Arabidopsis thaliana: one gene and its partner. The protein of the gene in region 2 interacts with the protein of the main gene of each other region in a biochemical or structural test. Each region holds a gene or a part of one and is shown on either strand. Other genes may lie near its edges.

Region 1 (5,277 bases), on a different chromosome or scaffold from region 2:
AACATCCATGCACATGTTGTTTGAGGTTTTTTTTTGGTTATACATGTTCAAGGATTTTATTGAAGCACTATATATAATATAAGTTTTAAATTTATTATATACATGCTACATTTAAAAAAGATAAAATATTATCATAAATTTTAAAAAATTCTTAGATATGTAATTTATTATATTTAAAGGTAATTTAAAGAATCATTAGAAACAGATAAAAAAAATAATGTGCTATCCAGGATAATACTATCTTTTTTAAGCGCTGATATAATCATTATTTAATTTTTTTTTTATATTTTTCTTTTAAAAACCCTCCAGCTAATTATCTACAAAAATAATAACACAAATTTAATATTAAAATTATAATTTTTGTCAACAGTATGATTATAATATGGGTTTGAACCATGATAATGACACAATAACAATACAAGTTCAATTAGGCTATTTGGCATGACCAATTTCAAACTAGAGTTGAGAACTTGAGATGTAATTTAATTCATATTAACTCATCACAAAAACGTGTATAAAGTTTTCATTGTTTCAAGTGAAAAATATTTATACATTTGTAAATGATATATGTTTTTAAAAGAACTAGAATGTTGAGAATTTGTAATTTATGCGAAGATACAATAACCGGAAAGTAAAAGATTTCAAACAAACTCGTTTTCACATTTGAATACTCCACCATGTAGTGCTCGCAGCTACGATTCCATCTTGCCCGAAATCTGGTCACTCCAATGAACGTCTTCACCGGAAAATCCACAAGTTACAATGGTCAAAACCATTTTGTCAAAAACAAGTTCCAACAACTATGACTGGAATCTTATACATTTTAAAAGAACACTTGACTTTAGCGTGAAGAGAGTATTTTGGCGTTGGTGCACAGATCTCTCAACTCCTCAGACATCGACCTCTGACTATCTATGGTCTTCTTCTACACAATAATATTACGTACTAACTACTCTGCAAAGGATCTTAGTATTGTTAAATGCAAAGAAGTTGAAACCAAAAGCCCTGAAGGAAAACATGCGATGTTCGGGGCTAAAGAATGAAATAGTTAAGGATCGAACTTTTCTTATTGATCTAACCAGGGATTATAGTATCCGATCACAAGAATATTTCCTTGAGGATTAAGAGTAGCAGCATGATGAAACAGAGGATGACAAGCACGGATGCGCACTTCACCATACCTCCATGTCTCTGCGTTCGCTCTGCCTGTGAAGTTTTTTTATGCGATCCACTTCATTTAGAATTGGGACAAACAAATAGTTGGACATTAATGTTGAAGAGAGAACACTATTTTTACCTTCTGTAGTTGTTTGAGACCATCTTCAACAGTAGTAGCGACGTTTTCGATATTATAGTCTATCCGATCAACTATTGTACCCTGCAATTAAACGGGTTGCTTTGAGTTTGTTTTTCGAAAGGAAGAAGACTCAAAAGCTAGACAAAGAGAATATGGGATTAAATAAGTTTAACCTGATCTATCACAAGTGCAGAAAGATCCTTCATAATTTGAGCAAGATCGTTTACTGATTCTACAACCTGGACAATGACACAGACAACGAAGAAGAAAAAAGATTATGATTGATTGCAAAAGAAAAAAAAAAACGTTGGTGAGCTACAAACAACTAAGAACAAAGACGTAGTGCAAGCACTTGCCTGTTGTATCTCTTTCTCCCTCTCTACAGATACTTCTTCACTCTTTTTTATCTTTGACATCTGATGCTCGTTTAACTAAAAAGGAATCGAGAAAAAATTCCATCAATAAAGAAGACATAAGACGAATGATTGCTTTAAATCGATAGAATGAAACAGGTATAGGAGTCAAACCATATCGCCAAAGTCATCCTCTTCAGGTCTATATCTGTTTCTGCTCAGATTCATCTCTAAATCCATCCCATCCTGATAAATGATAATACATTTCAAGTCAAAGCTTCTTGAGAGGACAGAATAATATACTCTGAAAAAACAAGTACTAAAAGAATCTATCATCTATGAAATCGATGTAAAGAAGTTTCATTTGAGGCGGAGGAGCAGAAAGCAAACAAAAACTTCAAAGAATGAGACACTGCAACATCACATAGTTTCCGGTATAAGAAATGCCAATTACACTAAAATAGATAATAGTTTCATACCTCTTTTTGCTGCCTCAAGCGTTTCAAATATGTTGACTGTTTTTTGCGAAGCTCCATAGAAAGAAGTTGGAGGTCAGTGGCAAGAGACCGCTGTTATTAAACACACATGATAAATCTTAGATAGCAATGGCAAATGCAGCAAAAAGAAAGGAAATGTGTTAAGAGCAGCTTCCATCAAGTCAAAACTACCTGCACATTTTTCCTAACATTTGAATCTTCAGAAGGCCCTGAAGCAGAAAGCCTCTGAAGTTGCTTCTCAGACTTCTTCAATAGAAAAGTTATCTCCTGTGTCAAAGACTCAATATTATGTTGATCTTCTTTACCATCCCCAAACGATGGCATTAACGCCTTGGCATGAGCCTTTCCCAACTCAGCCATTTTAGTCCTTGCACGCTGTATATTCACAGATATCTCCTCAGAGACATCAACCCAAGCTGGTGGTAAGCCCACTGTTATCGCACCTTTACTAAAACATGACCAAAAATATCTCAGTAACTACTAACTCTCAGCTTAACGTAGCTCACAGACATTTACTTCAACTACACTATCAATGATGTATTATCATTCTCATTGCTAAGCTAATCATTTCCAGTTAACCCTAATTGATCAAATTGTTCACCATTTTCACTGATAAAGAGAGAGAAGAGTACCTAGAAGTTCCAGGATCTTCGGTACTAATAGGAGCGTAAGAGCGATTCGGATTCAATAACGAAGTACTCGCCATCTCGATCACCGGACCAACGCCGCCGGATCGTGTTCCCGTCAATGAAGATGACGACAATGGAGCTCTGACGCTTCTCAGAGAGTTTCTGTACTTCCTAAACAGCAACGTACGATTCCTCGTCGCCATGATCGTCAAAATTTGAAATCCCTAGAATCTCAATTTCACATCCAAATTCGAAATCAGCTCCGATCTGAACACAATCGCGGCTTCATCATCGACCGAGAATAAAACCGAACACAAAAATTGGGACTCCGACAAGGAAGTGCTCGGAGAGCGGCGAGATCAAAACTTTTTCCGATGAGGAAAGTAAACTCTCAGATTTGCAAATTGAGGTTTTCACTTTTCACTATTTCCCCAAAACTTAAAACTTTGGAAACAGTAAAAAAAAAAGTTAAAAAACAGTTGCGCGGCTAACTTTGTCCTGTTTCACCAGCTTACCAAATACAAACCAATAATATTTCGACACGTAAGCGTCGTACTAACAGCATGACGTTTTGATATTCCAAAAGGGAAAAACACGGCGGGTAAAAGGTTTAAACGGCATGCATTCGTGCGGGCTGTTAAAAAACAATTTAATACATGTAATAGAACTCATCTCTTCTATGTCTTTCACTCTCTCTCTCTCTCTATATCCAAAGAATTAAAAACCATAATAAAAAAAGAAGATAAAAAGACGAATTCCAGAAAAAAAAGACGCAAAATCGTCGTCGTCGTCTTCGTCTTTGCATTTCGTCGGAATCTTTTGATTCTTGAATCGGAATATCTCTGTTTTTGTTTTATCCGGACTCAAGATCAATTCGGATTCTTGGAATTTATTTGATTTTTTGTTGTTGTTGTTGAAAAAGTGGATTCTTTGGTTTCGATTTGTAATAATCTTCGTAGAAAAAATGGATTCTGATTCTTGGAGTGATCGTCTCGCATCGGCTTCAAGAAGATATCAGCTCGATTTCTTGTCTCGATCTGGTGAGTTTGATAAAAATTATAACTTGGATTTGTTCTTTCTTAATTTGAGATTTGATTGGTTTTGTCTTAAATTTAATCTTGATTCTATTGCAAAAATATCAATGATATTTAGACCTCAAATTTGTTTTCTTTTGAATTGATCAAGGATCGAGATTGACTGTAAGAGATTGACATTTTTGTTACTGTTCTGGTTTTCCGAACAAAATGGGACAAGACATTGATTGTGTCTTGTTCTGAATATTTGAAATGGTGATTGTTCAAATGTTTGTTTTGCTGATATTGAATTTAAGGAAAATGGAGGAAATAAATTCTGTCTTTTGAGGCATTTTACTAATGTGAGGCTTTAGGGATTGATTAAGCGTGTGTGTTTTGTTTCTAGGTTTTGGTATGAACTTAATGTCAAAAGCTGGAATCTTGATGATTCTTGTTTGACTTACAAGTAAATACAAAACTTCTTGTTGGTAAAAACGTTTTTAAAAGCTTTAGTTTCATCTCAAACTTAGACGTCTTTGCCAGGGAAGGTTTTATGATCTACTAGTTTCCATTCGTTTATTTAGATATCTTTGATGTTTCTTCTGAAACCCATTTGTATTGGAACTTCGAGAATGGAACGCGTTTTTAGTATTTCCCATTTTATTTTCTAGGCTTTTGTTTTGTAGTTGTCATTTTATTTTCTAGGCTTTTGTTTTGTAGTTGTCACATTTTCGAATGTTCTCTTGGCCGTGTTTGACTAGTTTCTTCATTTTTGAAAAACGCAGACAATTTCTTGGGGTTTGAGGAGATAGAAGGAGAAGATGACTTCAGGGAGGAGTATGCTTGCCCGTTCTGTTCAGACTATTTTGATATCGTCTCTCTATGCTGTCACATTGATGAAGATCATCCTATGGATGCAAAAAATGGGGTAGATATTTCCTCAATGTTACCTTTCTCTCGTTTTGAATCAAAATCTATTTATTGTTTCATCATATCATTCTTGGTAAGAGCACTGTTCTATGTTTAGTAGTTACTGGTCTTGGATATAAAGAAAGTGAAAGTAACCTAATGAAATGCGTCGAAATAGTATTTGGAATTGCCACTCAGTGTTCCTCAGAGAAGAAATCAACTCTAGGACACTTGTTTATTGCTACAATAGCAAGATTTGTTTTCAATTCTGCGTTTTGACATTGTTAATCTTGTAGGTATGTCCCATTTGTGCGGTGAAAGTGAGCTCTGATATGATTGCTCATATAACCCTACAACATGCAAATATGTTCAAGATATCCTTTTTGCTCTCTCTACCAGTTATATTTTTAACGATCATGTACTTATCTGATTCTTCCAATGAGTTGTGTTAATGATATGAATACTTCCTGATTTATGATTTAGGAAATAGTTTAGGATTTACTTTTCCTAGAGTCTTTTATTTATGTTCTGTTAGAAGTAAGGGTTAGGTTTTGTTTGTGAAACCTAACCAAGCAATTG
Region 2 (4,712 bases):
AAATCTCTTCTTATTAATGATACAATGACTCATTATTCATTTTACAATCTAAAGCGTTGTCATTTTGCACACAAAAAAAAAAAAAAAGCGTTGTCATAAGAGTTTAACGATAGTATCAGAAAGATTCAACAATAAATCAGTTATTCAACTAATTATATCCGGCAATGATTCTTCCGGAGATCATGCTTATAGTGAGTGAGTCCTTTGGATTCGTTGATGATCGATCAGTTGAAGCATTTGCCTTCAATTATGAACTATTAAGGGTGGTCTTTTGAGCAGTAGCCGGGTTTGTTGCCACAAATTGTTAGATTTTTGCCGGTTCTTTATTTTTGGAGTCATTTTGTTGTCTTTAGATGTTTCTTATGGAGTCTGCTTTCGGAATTTTTTTTTCGTTACAGAACTGAAGAAGCAAAGGAGACATTGCGGAAACTTAAAGAAGGCATAATAAAGGTGTATTCTATAGGGAAGTTTTTGACGGCTTACTTTTGATGAGACTGATTTGTATTGTTTAAGGAACTTAGCCATGGGATCAAGCTATGAAAGTATTTAATTTCAGGTTCTCTAGAGATCACACAGCCAAAGTTCAAAATTATATGTGGGATTGGATAGGAGAAGAAAAAACAGACAACCTTATGTAAATATTCCATTTGTTTCACCACAAACATGATAATGTAAGACATTAAACTCCCATCTATAAGATCCCGCGGCTCTGTTCTTTAGGTCAAGAAGACAAGAACGAATAGGATGATGAACAAGACGAGCAAGAAACATATCATCATCATTTGACCTTTTGCTCCAGCTTTCTTCATTACCATTCCCACTTTTTTCTGTCACAATACCATTTTCATTCTTTCAGTTTTTACTTTCTGCAATCAAACCAGCAACAAGACCTTTAAGGGGTTTACCTGAACAAATTCAAGACGGTTCTTTGTGCTGTCCATCTCCGTATCCAATTCATCTATTATTCTCTCCTGAACACACACAATAACAAAAACTTGATGTTTCTGATCTCTACTGATACGTCCTACTGTTAAATCATCTTCCCATATTACTAACCTGTGCAACGAGTTCGTCGTGTATAGTGAGCCCCACTCCTCCAATTCTCTGTACACTTTTACTAAGCTCATCCAATTCTTCGTCTTGTTGCCTGAAGTGAAAAAAATGATGTTAAGTTATGGCACTACTCTGTTTTTGAACAACACTATGCTACAATCTTCAGTCTAAAATCGTTATAAACTCAGAAGCAAAGAAAAGACTGCAAAACAATGTAGAACACACAGAGAGAGCTTTACTTTATCAACAGCATTTGCCTATCTGATTCTGACTGTACAAAACCATCATCGTCTCTCCCTCCATACTGATCATATCTACTTGCTTCACCCGAGTTTGGCATTCTCATTAGTTCTCTACGCACTTCACTTGCATGACCTGCTCCAGAACTAACCTTTCCAGCTAAAACACCAGACTTCACATTCCGCACCTATAAAAAAAATCGTAATCGTCTTGCACAAGTCAACTAACAACAAATTTATGCCACTATGTAAAGCAGTATTCATAACAAACTTAGAGAACATACCTGTGTCCTAGCATTACTAGTCCATCTCCTCCGTTTTTCAAGCTCAGCTTCATCAATGCCATACCATGAAGGATCTTTTGCTGCAACAGTAATCGCTTTTTCCAGCTCATCTACCTTCCTATCAGTAAAAACAGCTTCAATAGCCATGAAAGGACTCGAATATATTCAATTGGAATTTCTAATCATGTAAATAAGGGCCAATACATTCCTACAAGATCCATTTACAAACACAAATCCTATTCCACACCAGCTAAATTATATATAAAGACGAGATTAATAGAACCGTGACTAAATACGAGTACCTGCCACTCAATGCTTCCACAAGTAGCAACAAGCTCCTTCGCCACATGTGCTTGATCACCCATGTCGGGAGAGATACGCTCCCATTTGTGGAATGTAGATTGCAACTTATCAATCTAACAAAGCATCATCCATCAATCACTGTACTTCAAAATCTAAACAAAAAAACATCTCTGGCAATTTCTGAACAACTTACAGAATCCTGAATCTCTTCTTTAACAATGTAGAATGGATCTTGAGCTGAAGACATCCCGAAATCAACAAAATTTTGCTACCCTATACACCAAATAACACAGCTGATTAAGCTATAGAAACAAGTTCTTATGCAAAGTTAGTTACAGAAACAGAATTTTGAAATTTCATCTCATTGGCAGGGATTGTTCTGGAGATGCGCAAATTCTACGATTGCAAAATTAGAGTTCCTAAGTCACAATGATCAAACTCGACAAAACTATTAGATCCAGAGAAATTCCGATTAAATCCTGGCTAATCTAGGGTTAGAATTTTATTCAATAGAACCGGAACGGCTTTATCAATCTATGTGCTTTAAGATCGACACAAACATTGGAGAAAAAGCTTGCGTTTAGAGACGATAACGACAAGGATCAATGCGAAAGGAGAATTGATGTAAGAGGAAAATTGAAGAAGCTTCCTTACCTGTGAAGGAATTAATCGAAAGGTGACGCGACGGAGAACAAACGACGGTGAAGTAAAAGAGATTCCGGCGTGAGATTCGTCTCTCTTACATAGCAAAACGCATCACCTGCGGTTGGCTTTGAGATTCGCTGAAAGTTTATTTTTGGGCTACTGGAGAATCTTATAAAGCCCAATAAGAGACCACAGAGCCCAATAAGTTATTACAAATCTACGACAGTATTAATAAAGACCATTTTCTACGTTACAAAATTTTGATTATTAACTGTTATAGAAAATGGTTATATTGAAACGCATATTTGGCATTTGTTATAGAAGAAAGAAACCACTCTTGCTGAGTTTTTGTTGGTTAAAGCGTGACCTAAGTCTGTCTATTGAGAAGATTCATAGTCCATGAAAAATCCGATGCTACTATAAATGATTGTTTACTAATCCTAGAAACCAAAAACAAATAATTGTTTTCTCAATTCAAAAATTGTATGGTAAAATTTTAGGGTTTACACATTTAAGATTTTAAGTGTTATAGATTTCCGGTGCACAGAAGAATGGTATATATTGTGAGTTTGTGATTAGTTTTGTTATGCAAACTTCTCACGTTAGGCAACTGTAAATATAATATCTCCAACAAAGCGGTCATGCAATTTGTTTTGTTGAAAATTTGTATATTTTACTAGCGGTCATGAATTTTTAAATCCCCCACACTCTATTTTTTAAAATATTTTTAACGTTTTGGGACCATGATGGATGTTGAACTTTCATTTCAGGATTTGGTGGAACGATAAAATTGGAAAGGCTTTGGAGTTTGGAACCTGAAGAACTTATAAAGTTAAAGGATGACACGTGACTTTAATAAAGAAATGCAATTCCCATAATCATATAATAGTCCAAATTTAGGAAGAAATGGGTGACATGAGTTTTAAAGAAGAAAGACGTCATGATTCCATTAAAACAAACCAAATTAGTTGGTGGCTTGGTGCTGACGTCTACCGACTTTTCCACCGTCCATCCTTCGACGATGGTTCTTTCTAAATGACCTTCTCAGTTTTTTCCTGTCATGCGTATTATTATTATTAGTTAATAAGGCTCCACTACTACTCGGAAAGTCCGAGTACAAATAATATGACAATAATGTCAAACTTATTCTTAGTATTGGTTTAAAAGAAGGATTCAACAAGAGTACTTAATCACGTCTCATAATTACCACTTTCATCCAAACATGGTCATTACTATATGACATGATCGTGTTACATTAATTTGGAAAGTAGTATATGTCTTTTTCCTAAAAGTTTATGTTTAGATTTTTGATCACTAAGAATATAATGTCATATATATTATTAACCTTTACACCTAAATGTTATATTAATTACTTGAATGATAAAACGGAAAATATCGAAAGTTTAGGCTAGGTCTCTCTAGCATCTCTAGTGTATTTATTTAGCAATCCCAAAACAAAATTGTGTTTTCTACAATTTTAGTATTAGATTACCAAAATTGTTGTATATAGTCTGGTGATTCCGTTTTGATGGTCGAGATCGAAAGAAGCAAGCATCCACTATGTGGTCGTCACATGCGAATATTTCTAAGTATACAACCATCTATCGAAAGTTTCGAAACAACCCAAATATAATAGTAATAAATTCTGAGAATTCTCCTATTTTTTATTGATATGAAAAAAGCAGTAAAATATTATGTAAAGTAGAGAGGAACCAAAATTAAAACGTGCAGATTTATTAAAAGAATAAAGTGGGATCCAAAAAGTCAGCGTGAAACATGTGATACGATATAACGACACGGTCCTATGACTAAGTCCACTCCAATCCAGTGACGTAAACAGCACCATCACCCATAGCTTCCTGTGACGCACATCCTTACGTAACCATCGTTGACGCTAGACTTTCCTCTCTGATCTCTCTTTCTTCATGTATATATAACAAAACCTTCCTTTCCTAATTGGTATCTATCTTTAAAAACATACTTGAAAATGCAAGGAACGATTTCTTGTGCAAGAAATTATAACATGACGACAACCGTCGGGGAATCTCTGCGGCCGCTATCGCTTAAAACGCAGGGAAACGGCGAGAGAGTTCGGATGGTGGTGGAGGAGAACGCGGTGATTGTGATTGGACGGAGAGGATGTTGCATGTGTCATGTGGTGAGGAGGCTGCTTCTTGGACTTGGAGTG

What was found. Proteins that work in one complex are often made in the same cells at the same time.
Region 1: the proteins of SYP61 (region 2) and SYP41 form a complex in vitro, tested with the Arabidopsis thaliana proteins (one study listed by BioGRID).

What each region holds. Positions count from the first base shown.
Region 1 is NC_003076.8:9,487,626-9,492,902, forward strand, and holds SYP41 (syntaxin of plants 41), read right to left. Parts: upstream 3,468-5,277; 5' UTR 2,980-3,467; coding exon 2,780-2,979; intron 2,596-2,779; coding exon 2,319-2,595; intron 2,220-2,318; coding exon 2,130-2,219; intron 1,897-2,129; coding exon 1,825-1,896; intron 1,729-1,824; coding exon 1,654-1,728; intron 1,537-1,653; coding exon 1,471-1,536; intron 1,379-1,470; coding exon 1,298-1,378; intron 1,207-1,297; coding exon 1,099-1,206; 3' UTR 508-1,098; downstream 1-507. Other genes in the region: AT5G26990 (Drought-responsive family protein), read left to right, coding at 3,741-3,816, 4,575-4,717, 4,995-5,072. UniProt on the Arabidopsis thaliana protein: Contributes to the regulation of secretory and vacuolar transport pathways in the post-Golgi network, and to the maintenance of the Golgi apparatus and trans-Golgi network (TGN) morphologies. Together with VTI12, required for membrane fusion.
Region 2 is NC_003070.9:10,013,847-10,018,558, reverse strand, and holds SYP61 (syntaxin of plants 61), read right to left. Parts: upstream 2,704-4,712; 5' UTR 2,534-2,703; intron 2,153-2,533; 5' UTR 2,127-2,152; coding exon 2,073-2,126; intron 1,993-2,072; coding exon 1,879-1,992; intron 1,809-1,878; exon of another isoform or gene 1,724-1,808; coding exon of another isoform or gene 1,691-1,723; coding exon 1,577-1,690; intron 1,481-1,576; coding exon 1,293-1,480; intron 1,148-1,292; coding exon 1,057-1,147; intron 972-1,056; coding exon 906-971; intron 828-905; coding exon 717-827; 3' UTR 512-716; downstream 1-511. Other genes in the region: GRX480 (Thioredoxin superfamily protein), read left to right, coding at 4,512-4,712. UniProt on the Arabidopsis thaliana protein: Vesicle trafficking protein that functions in the secretory pathway; the fusion of phospholipid vesicles containing SYP61 and VTI12 is triggered by YKT61 and YKT62. Together with VTI12, required for membrane fusion.